3 linked regions of the Saccharomyces cerevisiae S288C genome follow. The main gene of each other region encodes a partner of the protein of the gene in region 3 in a complex. Each region holds a gene or a part of one and is shown on either strand. Other genes may lie near its edges. The genes, in order: PRP4, SME1 and SMD3.

What was found.
Region 1: SMD3 (region 3) and PRP4 share a complex: the UniProt entries of both Saccharomyces cerevisiae proteins name them as parts of the U4/U6-U5 tri-snRNP complex.
Region 2: SMD3 (region 3) and SME1 share a complex: the UniProt entries of both Saccharomyces cerevisiae proteins name them as parts of the sm core complex.

Annotation. Positions count from the first base shown.
Region 1 is NC_001148.4:890,167-893,931, forward strand, and holds PRP4 (U4/U6-U5 snRNP complex subunit PRP4), read left to right. Parts: upstream 1-2,165; coding exon 2,166-3,563; downstream 3,564-3,765. Other genes in the region: DPB2 (DNA polymerase epsilon noncatalytic subunit), read left to right, coding at 1-877; Rab geranylgeranyltransferase BET2, read right to left, coding at 935-1,912; HDA3 (Hda3p), read right to left, coding at 3,631-3,765. UniProt on the Saccharomyces cerevisiae protein: Involved in RNA splicing. Is required for the association of U4/U6 snRNP with U5 snRNP in an early step of spliceosome assembly.
Region 2 is NC_001147.6:632,782-635,731, reverse strand, and holds SME1 (mRNA splicing protein SME1), read left to right. Parts: upstream 1-2,165; coding exon 2,166-2,450; downstream 2,451-2,950. Other genes in the region: mRNA transport regulator MTR10, read right to left, coding at 1-1,893; mitochondrial 37S ribosomal protein mS26 PET123, read right to left, coding at 2,612-2,950. UniProt on the Saccharomyces cerevisiae protein: Involved in pre-mRNA splicing. Binds and is required for the stability of snRNA U1, U2, U4 and U5 which contain a highly conserved structural motif called the Sm binding site. Involved in cap modification.
Region 3 is NC_001144.5:433,493-436,108, reverse strand, and holds SMD3 (mRNA splicing protein SMD3), read left to right. Parts: upstream 1-1,645; coding exon 1,646-1,951; downstream 1,952-2,616. Other genes in the region: tethering complex subunit PEP3, read right to left, coding at 1-1,468; YLR146W-A (uncharacterized protein), read right to left, coding at 2,051-2,239; SPE4 (spermine synthase), read left to right, coding at 2,384-2,616. UniProt on the Saccharomyces cerevisiae protein: Plays a role in pre-mRNA splicing as a core component of the spliceosomal U1, U2, U4 and U5 small nuclear ribonucleoproteins (snRNPs), the building blocks of the spliceosome. Also binds telomerase RNA and is required for its accumulation.

The sequences.
Region 1 (3,765 bases), on a different chromosome or scaffold from region 3:
ATTTGTAATTCTCGGCGCAAATTTGTTCCTAGATGATTTGAAAATTATGACTGCACTCAGCAAAATTTTGCAAAAATTAAATGATGACCCACCGACCCTATTAATTTGGCAAGGTTCTTTCACTTCAGTTCCCGTTTTCGCATCAATGAGTAGCCGGAATATAAGTAGTTCCACTCAATTTAAGAATAATTTCGATGCCTTGGCGACGCTTCTGTCAAGATTTGACAATTTGACCGAAAATACCACAATGATATTTATTCCAGGTCCTAACGATTTATGGGGGTCGATGGTGTCATTGGGGGCAAGTGGGACATTACCGCAAGATCCAATTCCTAGTGCGTTTACCAAAAAAATCAACAAGGTCTGTAAAAACGTTGTATGGAGCTCAAATCCAACTAGAATAGCATACTTATCCCAAGAAATAGTCATTTTCAGGGACGATTTATCCGGAAGATTCAAAAGACACCGTTTGGAATTCCCATTCAACGAGAGCGAAGATGTTTATACTGAAAACGATAACATGATGTCTAAAGACACCGATATTGTACCAATCGATGAATTAGTTAAAGAACCAGACCAGTTACCACAAAAGGTTCAAGAAACAAGAAAACTCGTTAAAACAATACTAGACCAGGGTCATTTATCGCCATTTCTTGATTCCTTGCGCCCAATTTCATGGGATTTGGACCACACTTTGACACTTTGCCCAATACCATCGACAATGGTTCTTTGCGACACTACTTCTGCACAATTTGATTTGACATACAACGGTTGTAAAGTAATTAACCCTGGAAGTTTCATTCATAATAGACGTGCTAGGTATATGGAGTACGTTCCATCCTCAAAGAAAACTATACAAGAAGAGATATATATCTAAATAATGCATCAAAATAAGAACACTTAAACAAGCACGGTAGTGTTGGTACTCTGCCATCTATTTGTATGGATACTTTTTGAATTTTGATGTAACGGATTTCGGCATACAATATATGGGATCTATGGGGACTAAATTGTCGTATCCCATTAAACTTAAACCAGCAACACCAAAAACTGTATGGAAGACATCCACTTCATTTTCAGGCCTGTCGCTTATTCCACCCTTCTTCTCATCTTGACATTTGAGTATAAACTCAGTTAGCTTCTCATAATTTATCCAATCTAGTCTACCAATAATAGCTAATGAAGATAAAACCCACCAACTATAGCAAACATCGGGCAGTTTACTTGGCCTACCGTTTAGTCCACCTTCTGGTAATTGTCGTTCGCAAAGCCACCACCCAATTTCTTCTAGTTGGTCGTCACTAAGCATATCCAATTTGTTAGCAATTGCCAAAGCGCCAAGACAGGTAAAAGCTTGAGCTGCATGGGATTCAGCATTAGGACATAATCCAAAGCCACCATCAAAATTATAACACTTGAGTACAAAGTCTACAGCAGGGTCAACAACTTCAGACGTTAATTCACCCAAAATTGATAGTGCACTCAAGGCTGTATAAACAAACCTTGTATCTACCTCCCCAAACCTGTCACCCTGGAACGAACCATCTTCCAATTGATTCCCACGGATGAAGGAAATCAAGCGAACCTTACGATCTTTTCCAAGAACATCCAAAGCATCATAAGTGGCCAAGATCTGTACGGCGGACAATGTAGTTAATAAATGTGCATCATGTCTTGGAAATGGTGCGAAAGCGCCGTATTTGTCGTCCCAACAGCTCAGAACAAATGATATAACCTCTTCTTTCACAAATGTCTCTGGAGAATCAAGCACACACAAGGCAGTAAGTCCCCAATATATCCCATTCAAACGAAGATGCTCGGTAAGCCAGTATTCAAAATTATGCTTCTTTGTATCCAATGATTCAATATAACGTATATGCTTTTCCTTAAGTAGCGTAAGAGATCCTGACATGTTCACAATTTTCTAGTGGAGAAAACAGAATCATTAGTAACAGTAGTGGTATCTGAAATATATATATACACAGTTTCTTAAATTGTTGTCTTTACTACTGGTATTACTATCGCTATTACAAGCGAAGTCATTAAGTACGGAAATGTTTAAACGTAGAGAGCTAGTAAAGGAAAGGCTGTTACATGATCACTAATCGTAACTTTGCAACGAGCCTGAGGGAAATGACTAGTACTATTACCTTGTTGAACGGAATATGAGTAAATATATTGCACTTGAAAATCTTCCGGTAGATTTGCAACATAAAGGAGCTACACAAAATGAAAGCACCGCTGATATACTGAAACAGTTGCCACATGAACGATTACAAGCTGTCCTGGAGAAGATACCAGAAGAAGATCTTGAGGTGAGACGATTGCTTTCAATTTTAAAGAAGCCGGAAGTAGTGGAGAATGAAGATGTACAACAAAGAAGAATACGGTTGGCTGAAATTTTAATGGTTGATGAAATTGATCTTGAGAACATTAATAACATGGAAAACATAAATGGGGAAGAAGTAGACGAAGAGGACGATGAGGACTTCTTCACTCCAGCAACATCTGAGCTCATTTTTGCGAGAAGATTTTTGATAAATTATTCACTTGAAAGATCTCGAAAGAGGCTACAGAAAGAGATGGAAAGACATCAAAAGTTCAATACAAGACAGGAATTACTCAGTCGGCGTACAGAATTACAGCGTATGGCTAATTTAGAGCTTGCTGGCTCTCAATTAGTATCTACGAAGCCTATTTCCGCAGTTTCTTTATCTACCGATGACATGGTTGTCGCAACGGGAAGCTGGGCAGGTGATCTTCAGGTATTAAATTCTCAAACACTGCAGCCATTGACACAAAAACTCGACTCTCATGTAGGGAAAATCGGAGCTATAGATTGGCATCCTGATTCAAACAATCAAATGATTTCATGCGCAGAAGACGGGCTCATCAAAAACTTTCAATACTCAAACGAAGAGGGCGGCCTTCGATTATTGGGAGATCTTGTGGGACATGAAAGACGTATTTCTGATGTGAAATACCACCCTAGTGGCAAATTTATAGGTAGTGCCTCTCATGATATGACTTGGAGACTTTGGGATGCGTCAACACATCAAGAACTGCTGCTACAAGAAGGCCATGATAAGGGAGTGTTTAGTCTGTCTTTTCAATGCGATGGATCTCTTGTTTGTAGCGGTGGCATGGACTCGCTTTCAATGCTATGGGATATAAGATCCGGAAGTAAGGTGATGACACTCGCAGGACACTCAAAGCCTATTTACACCGTAGCTTGGTCACCAAACGGGTATCAAGTAGCCACTGGTGGTGGTGATGGAATCATTAATGTTTGGGACATCAGAAAACGGGATGAAGGCCAACTAAATCAAATATTGGCGCATCGTAACATCGTTACGCAGGTAAGGTTTTCAAAGGAAGACGGCGGAAAGAAACTTGTCTCTTGTGGCTATGATAATTTGATCAATGTGTATAGTAGTGATACGTGGTTAAAAATGGGAAGTTTAGCAGGCCACACTGATAAAATTATTAGCTTGGATATTTCGAATAATTCTCATTTTTTAGTGAGCGGCGGATGGGATAGGTCTATCAAGCTCTGGAATTGATTGTGTAAAGAAATGTATTTAGTATTTTTGAAACTAACGTTTTATTAACACTGCATTATTTATTTAATTATACATTTCCTGGTTTTTTTGCCCTGGATTTTTTTTTTGTGTTACCATTTTGAGTACGAACTCGTGGAATTGTTAAGTTTTCCAAGTTGTCCATCGTCTTCGATAACTGTCCCACTAACTCCTCGTTTAGATC
Region 2 (2,950 bases), on a different chromosome or scaffold from region 3:
CAAATCAATCTTATCAGCAATCTGTGGAGCCAAGAGCGTTGGATTTGCTTTCCATTGAGGAATCAAAGCCTCGATTTGTCGCAAATTATCATCTACGAGCTTTTGAAATATTACTGAAACTTTGGCCTCTGGCTGATTATTTATTACTGCACTTAATCCTTGACATAGTTCAAATTGTGACTCAATATCAATCGAACTCTGCACGTTGAGGAAGAAATTAATCAACTGATCAATATACCCAACTAATAGTTTAGAGCAGTCCGAACAGAAGAACATTAATGCATGTGATGATGCAGTGATTATACTTTGCATATCCGATGAACCCTCATGCAGTTGAAAACCGTTAAAAATATATTGCAATTGAACTTCTAGTAGTTCTGGATGCTTGGCTGTCCATTCGGTATATCTACCAAGAACTAATGTTGATGCATACCTAATCTTGGCCTGCTCTGGAAGGTTACAAATGATTTTAATGATTTCTGGCAATATAGTGTTTTCAGTCAACGAAATTTCTTTAGCCATAGTCCTCAGGGAAAATAATGGGGCTTCCATTATTTGCCAGCTATTGTTGTTTTCTATTGCGGACTTAATTCTTATTAGTGGTTGCGATAAAGCCTCAGAAGTTCCCACCACTGCAGTACAGTCTTTTAACACATCGCCCATATGATACCTGAAATCTTTAAATTTATCTTCTTCCTCTTTAGATGAAAACTGGCCTGATGGATATTGTAAATGAGTAATTATACCATTTATTAATTTAACAAAAATATCAGAGTAAGCTTTTCTTGATTCTTGATATCTTGGCAAAACTAAACTTTGTTTGAAGTTAAACCAAAAGGGGAAAGTATAGGAAACGACATCTAAGTCTTCATTTTTGCAGGTCAACATCAATAATACCAAAACCATTGGTTTAAAAAAATCGGGGTTTTTAGAAATGACAACTGACCAAGCCTCGCCAGCTTCTACGAATAATCGTGTCATACCTTCTAGGAGATCGTCATCATATTCATCGTTCAAAGGATGGTCTGTGAACAGAGTAGGCAATAGTTTTTCTTGTAAAAGCATTAACTGATGAAATAAAGCAGAAATCAACTGCTCATTAGTAGTATCTCTGCTTTCTCTGAGGATAACGCAGAGACAATCAATAGCGGAATCGAATGCCTCCATGTCACTTTCATTACCATTGGAAATAGTTTCAAACACGAGATTTATTAAGGGTTGTACGGTTAGCAACTGTTCAACAGGGAATTCATACGACCAAGAGTTCAAACACCGTAAAATTTGTTCTAATGAAATAGATGAGCTGGAATTCCCGTCTGTATTTTGTAATAGGTCTATGCATGATACAAGGAATTTCAATACATCTTCTGCTATCGGATCAATTAGTTCATGAATTCTGGAATTGAATTCCACTTCTGTCAAGGAAGTAGATGCAATGTCTAAGGTTTCCTCAGGTAAAATTCTTAAAAAGTTTAATAATATAGATGGTGAAGAATTCAACAATGAAATGATCTCGAAAATTGGATTCTGCCATTCTAAAAATTGGATCGCCAAACGTGCTAACGCGACATTCAGTTGTGTAATAATCAATTTTTGGTTATGCGATAATAAAAGCGTCAACAAAGAATCCTTGAATTGTGGTAGATTATTTTCTAATTGTGATAGATCATATGTGACTTTATTCCTTAAAGTTTGCGCAGCAAAAATATTTAATTCTAGAAGAGCGTTTGTAGGATCTTCTTTAGACAATATTTCATTGCAAATAGACCAGGCAACAGTTGATCTTTGGAATTGTTCTAAAAATTGAAGCGCTTTGTTTTTATCATCTTGAGATGCAGTAGACGATATGCATTGTAAAGCAGTTTCTATATCAGATACCTGTAAGTTGTCCATAACGCAAGTTAATCCTTAGTATATCCTCAATAAATCCTTGATACTGATCTGTCAACGAGTATTTTCATGCCTTTTTCCTTCATTTATTTTTTTGTCAATATCCCTTATGTTCGAAAATTTTTTTCAATTATACCGAAAGCCTGAGCATCTAACAGAGAAATAGAAAATTGAAGTGAAATAACAATAATAGATGGTAAAGGTAAGAGATAATACTAAGGAAAGGAGATTAAGGAACACAGGAAGGATATAGAGCGAAAAACAAGAGGCTTGGAATGTCGAACAAAGTTAAAACCAAGGCCATGGTGCCACCAATAAATTGCATATTTAACTTCTTACAACAGCAAACACCAGTAACGATATGGTTATTCGAGCAAATCGGCATAAGAATCAAGGGTAAAATAGTTGGATTTGATGAGTTCATGAATGTTGTCATCGATGAAGCCGTGGAAATTCCTGTGAATAGTGCCGATGGTAAAGAAGATGTGGAGAAGGGCACGCCCTTGGGGAAGATCCTGTTGAAAGGCGATAATATCACATTGATAACATCAGCGGACTGAAAGAAAAAGGGGAACGAGAGAAATAGACAATTCGCAAGTGACGTATATACATGGGCATATTTATTCTCGATTTGATTTTTTTTTCTTCTTTTCTTTAGTTGTAATGCGTCTAAGGCACTTTCGAATACATGACATGTTGAAGTAGTATATATATTAGTTATTTACAAGTTGGTTGTATTATTATTATTACCATTATTTCCAGCTCCATTAGAGGTGGGGTTTAATTTGGAATCAATTTTATTGGAAATGTTTTTTAAATCCTTGTTCAGATATGAATCCACTAAAGAAATATCGAAAAACTTTTCGTTTGACAAAGAGCCCATTATTGCGTTGTTAATTTGGGTTTGTAGGGTGGTGTTACCTGAAAGTAATAATTTTCTATTTCCAAATTGCGTGAAGTTAGAAGTTACATCATAGGCATCAGTGAATTCCTCCGTTTCATCGTTAAAAACCTTATCAATTTTCTTTAGTAGTTGGGATTCTGTAACGATGAATTCATT
Region 3 (2,616 bases):
GATGGCTTTCCAAAAATTTCGTTAGTTCATTCGATTTCTCCTTGAGATTCAGGTTCCAGTTTAGCAAATTGTCTTCATCAGTAGAAGCTGGCTTAGTTGTGTTTATCTTTAATTCAATATCATTCAATTGTTTCATAAAATTCCAAATAATCCAACTCGACAAGACGACTTGAGTTGATTTCCAGGGAACGTTATCCAACTGTTTTATCAATATTACGTTCAAATCGTTGTAATCTTTTATTTGGAGAAAATTCAATGCGATTTCCCCAAAGTGTGACAAGTCCTTCATGCTTCCCAAAGTTTGAGCCGCGGAATGAAAATCTTTAGCAGTGTGGAAAAGGTACATTGCCTTTGAAAGTTTTACAGATTCTATTTCCCTCACCGTCAAGCCTTTCAACGATAGGGCCTTGTCAAATTTGTTATCCCGAACTAATAAATTCCATACCGAATTAGGCTCATTTTCGATAATAATTTCAAAGACGTTGATGTTTGAGAAACACCAAAACGTTTCTTTCACCGAATCTCTTACTAGGCCTAAAAATTTCTCATTACTATCAGTGTTGGAGCCAGTCAACTGGTGTCTCGGTATAGTTTCATGAAACACTACGTCGTTATTTAATTGACTCACCATTGTTACCGTATTTTTTCTCAAAAGCAGGATGTGGAAAGCAGTCAAAACTATATCCTTGATGAGGTGATCTTTATCATTCTGGTAGTCAGGCAGTTCGAAATTGAGTAGAACCTTCGACGAAGATAGGAATTTTCCAAAATTATTAGAAGCAGGATCTTTTTCCATTTGCTTTTCTTTTAAATCACCAAAGACAATTCCATTGGATGTGACCCAAGCAAAGAGTCCATTGTACGAATCGAATTTCTTTATCGCATGATGTTTTAACCTTTCAAATTGCTCAGATTCATCTGGTAATACTAAAGGAAATTTCATATTTGTCACGTCTCTCCAGTATAAAATGTTGTCTTTTATAGTTAATAGCAGAGAGCCCTCCCAATACGCAATGCCATCAATTCCACCAGAGAGTTTCTTGTTTTCATACCATAGCTTCGTGGTTATATCCTTTCCTGTCAATTCAACTCGGTACAACTTGGGCGTCTTCTTGATTCCCATCAGAAAGGTGGTTTCGTTGATCCAATGTAGCGAGCTGAGGTCGAGATTTTTTATTTTGTTCAATTGAGTGAATTCGCCATCCTTTAGCAACATATACCGGCCAAAGTTGGTTCGAATAAGAATGACACTACCCATTGGTGAAACATGAACATTCATTATAGTTTCTAGTTCCTTGCTTAATGGACAGTCAAAGTGATTGACGATGGCCGGATCTTGTAAATTTATTCTGTAAATTGTCCGTTGTGTCGTTACTATAAGTTGATCATTGGAGACTTTCAAATGCGTAAGTTCGGTATTCCCTGTGAGGAATTGTAACTGAACTTCCTCTATACGTGTTTTTATCATTATATCCCTATATTTCTCTTTTTACTTCTTGGTACCTTATAGTTTTTACTTTTCTAGGGATGGCAGCTTCTTATTTCTTTCGTTCTATAGATTTGATATTTTTGAAATCGTTAAAAAATTCTTATAAGAGCAATACGAAGAGAATCAGAAAGCGCTGCGAGGCACGTATCAGAAACAATGACTATGAATGGAATACCAGTGAAATTATTAAATGAGGCACAGGGACATATCGTTTCTCTGGAGCTAACAACGGGAGCGACTTATCGTGGTAAACTTGTTGAAAGCGAAGATAGCATGAACGTACAGCTAAGAGATGTAATAGCTACAGAGCCCCAGGGGGCTGTAACACACATGGATCAAATATTCGTACGTGGGTCACAGATCAAATTTATCGTTGTTCCAGATCTCTTAAAGAATGCACCATTATTCAAAAAAAACTCATCAAGACCTATGCCACCAATAAGAGGACCTAAGAGAAGGTGATAATAGGAAACGTGACGGCAGAAACGCATTCATCATTGTAGGGGGAATATATATATATATTAATATTGTTTATGTAAAATATATTTGAATATAAATTTATCAGTTCGCACTGTTCGTGGTTGAATCCGCTGTTGTAGATGATTCCTTTATTTGTTCAAACTCGTTAAGATCGCAGCGAATTTGAGAATTCGTATCCCGCAACTGAGCAAATAACTGTTGTATTTCATTTTGCAACATCCGGGCATGCTCTACTGACGCTGTAGTCTTTTTTTTCTCTTCAGTGTCCATGGCTACTTCGAGCTTCTCTTTATTGCTAGATCCTTTTTAAGGTTATCTCAAAATTTTTCAAGTTGCTGCTGATTTTAGTTAAAAATAAAATATCAAAACGCCGATGAGACAGGCAGGATAAAGTGACAGATTCAGTTATACATTATGGTTAATAATTCACAGCATCCTTACATCAAAGATGGATGGTTTAGAGAGATTAATGATAAAAGTTTTCCGGGCCAGGCCTTTACTATGACCGTGGACTCAATACTTTATGAAGCCCGCAGTGAATTTCAGGACATCTTAATCTTCCGTAACAAGGTATACGGTACTGTTTTGGTCCTCGATGGTATTGTCCAATGTACGGAATTTGATGAGTTTGCCTATCAAGAGATGAT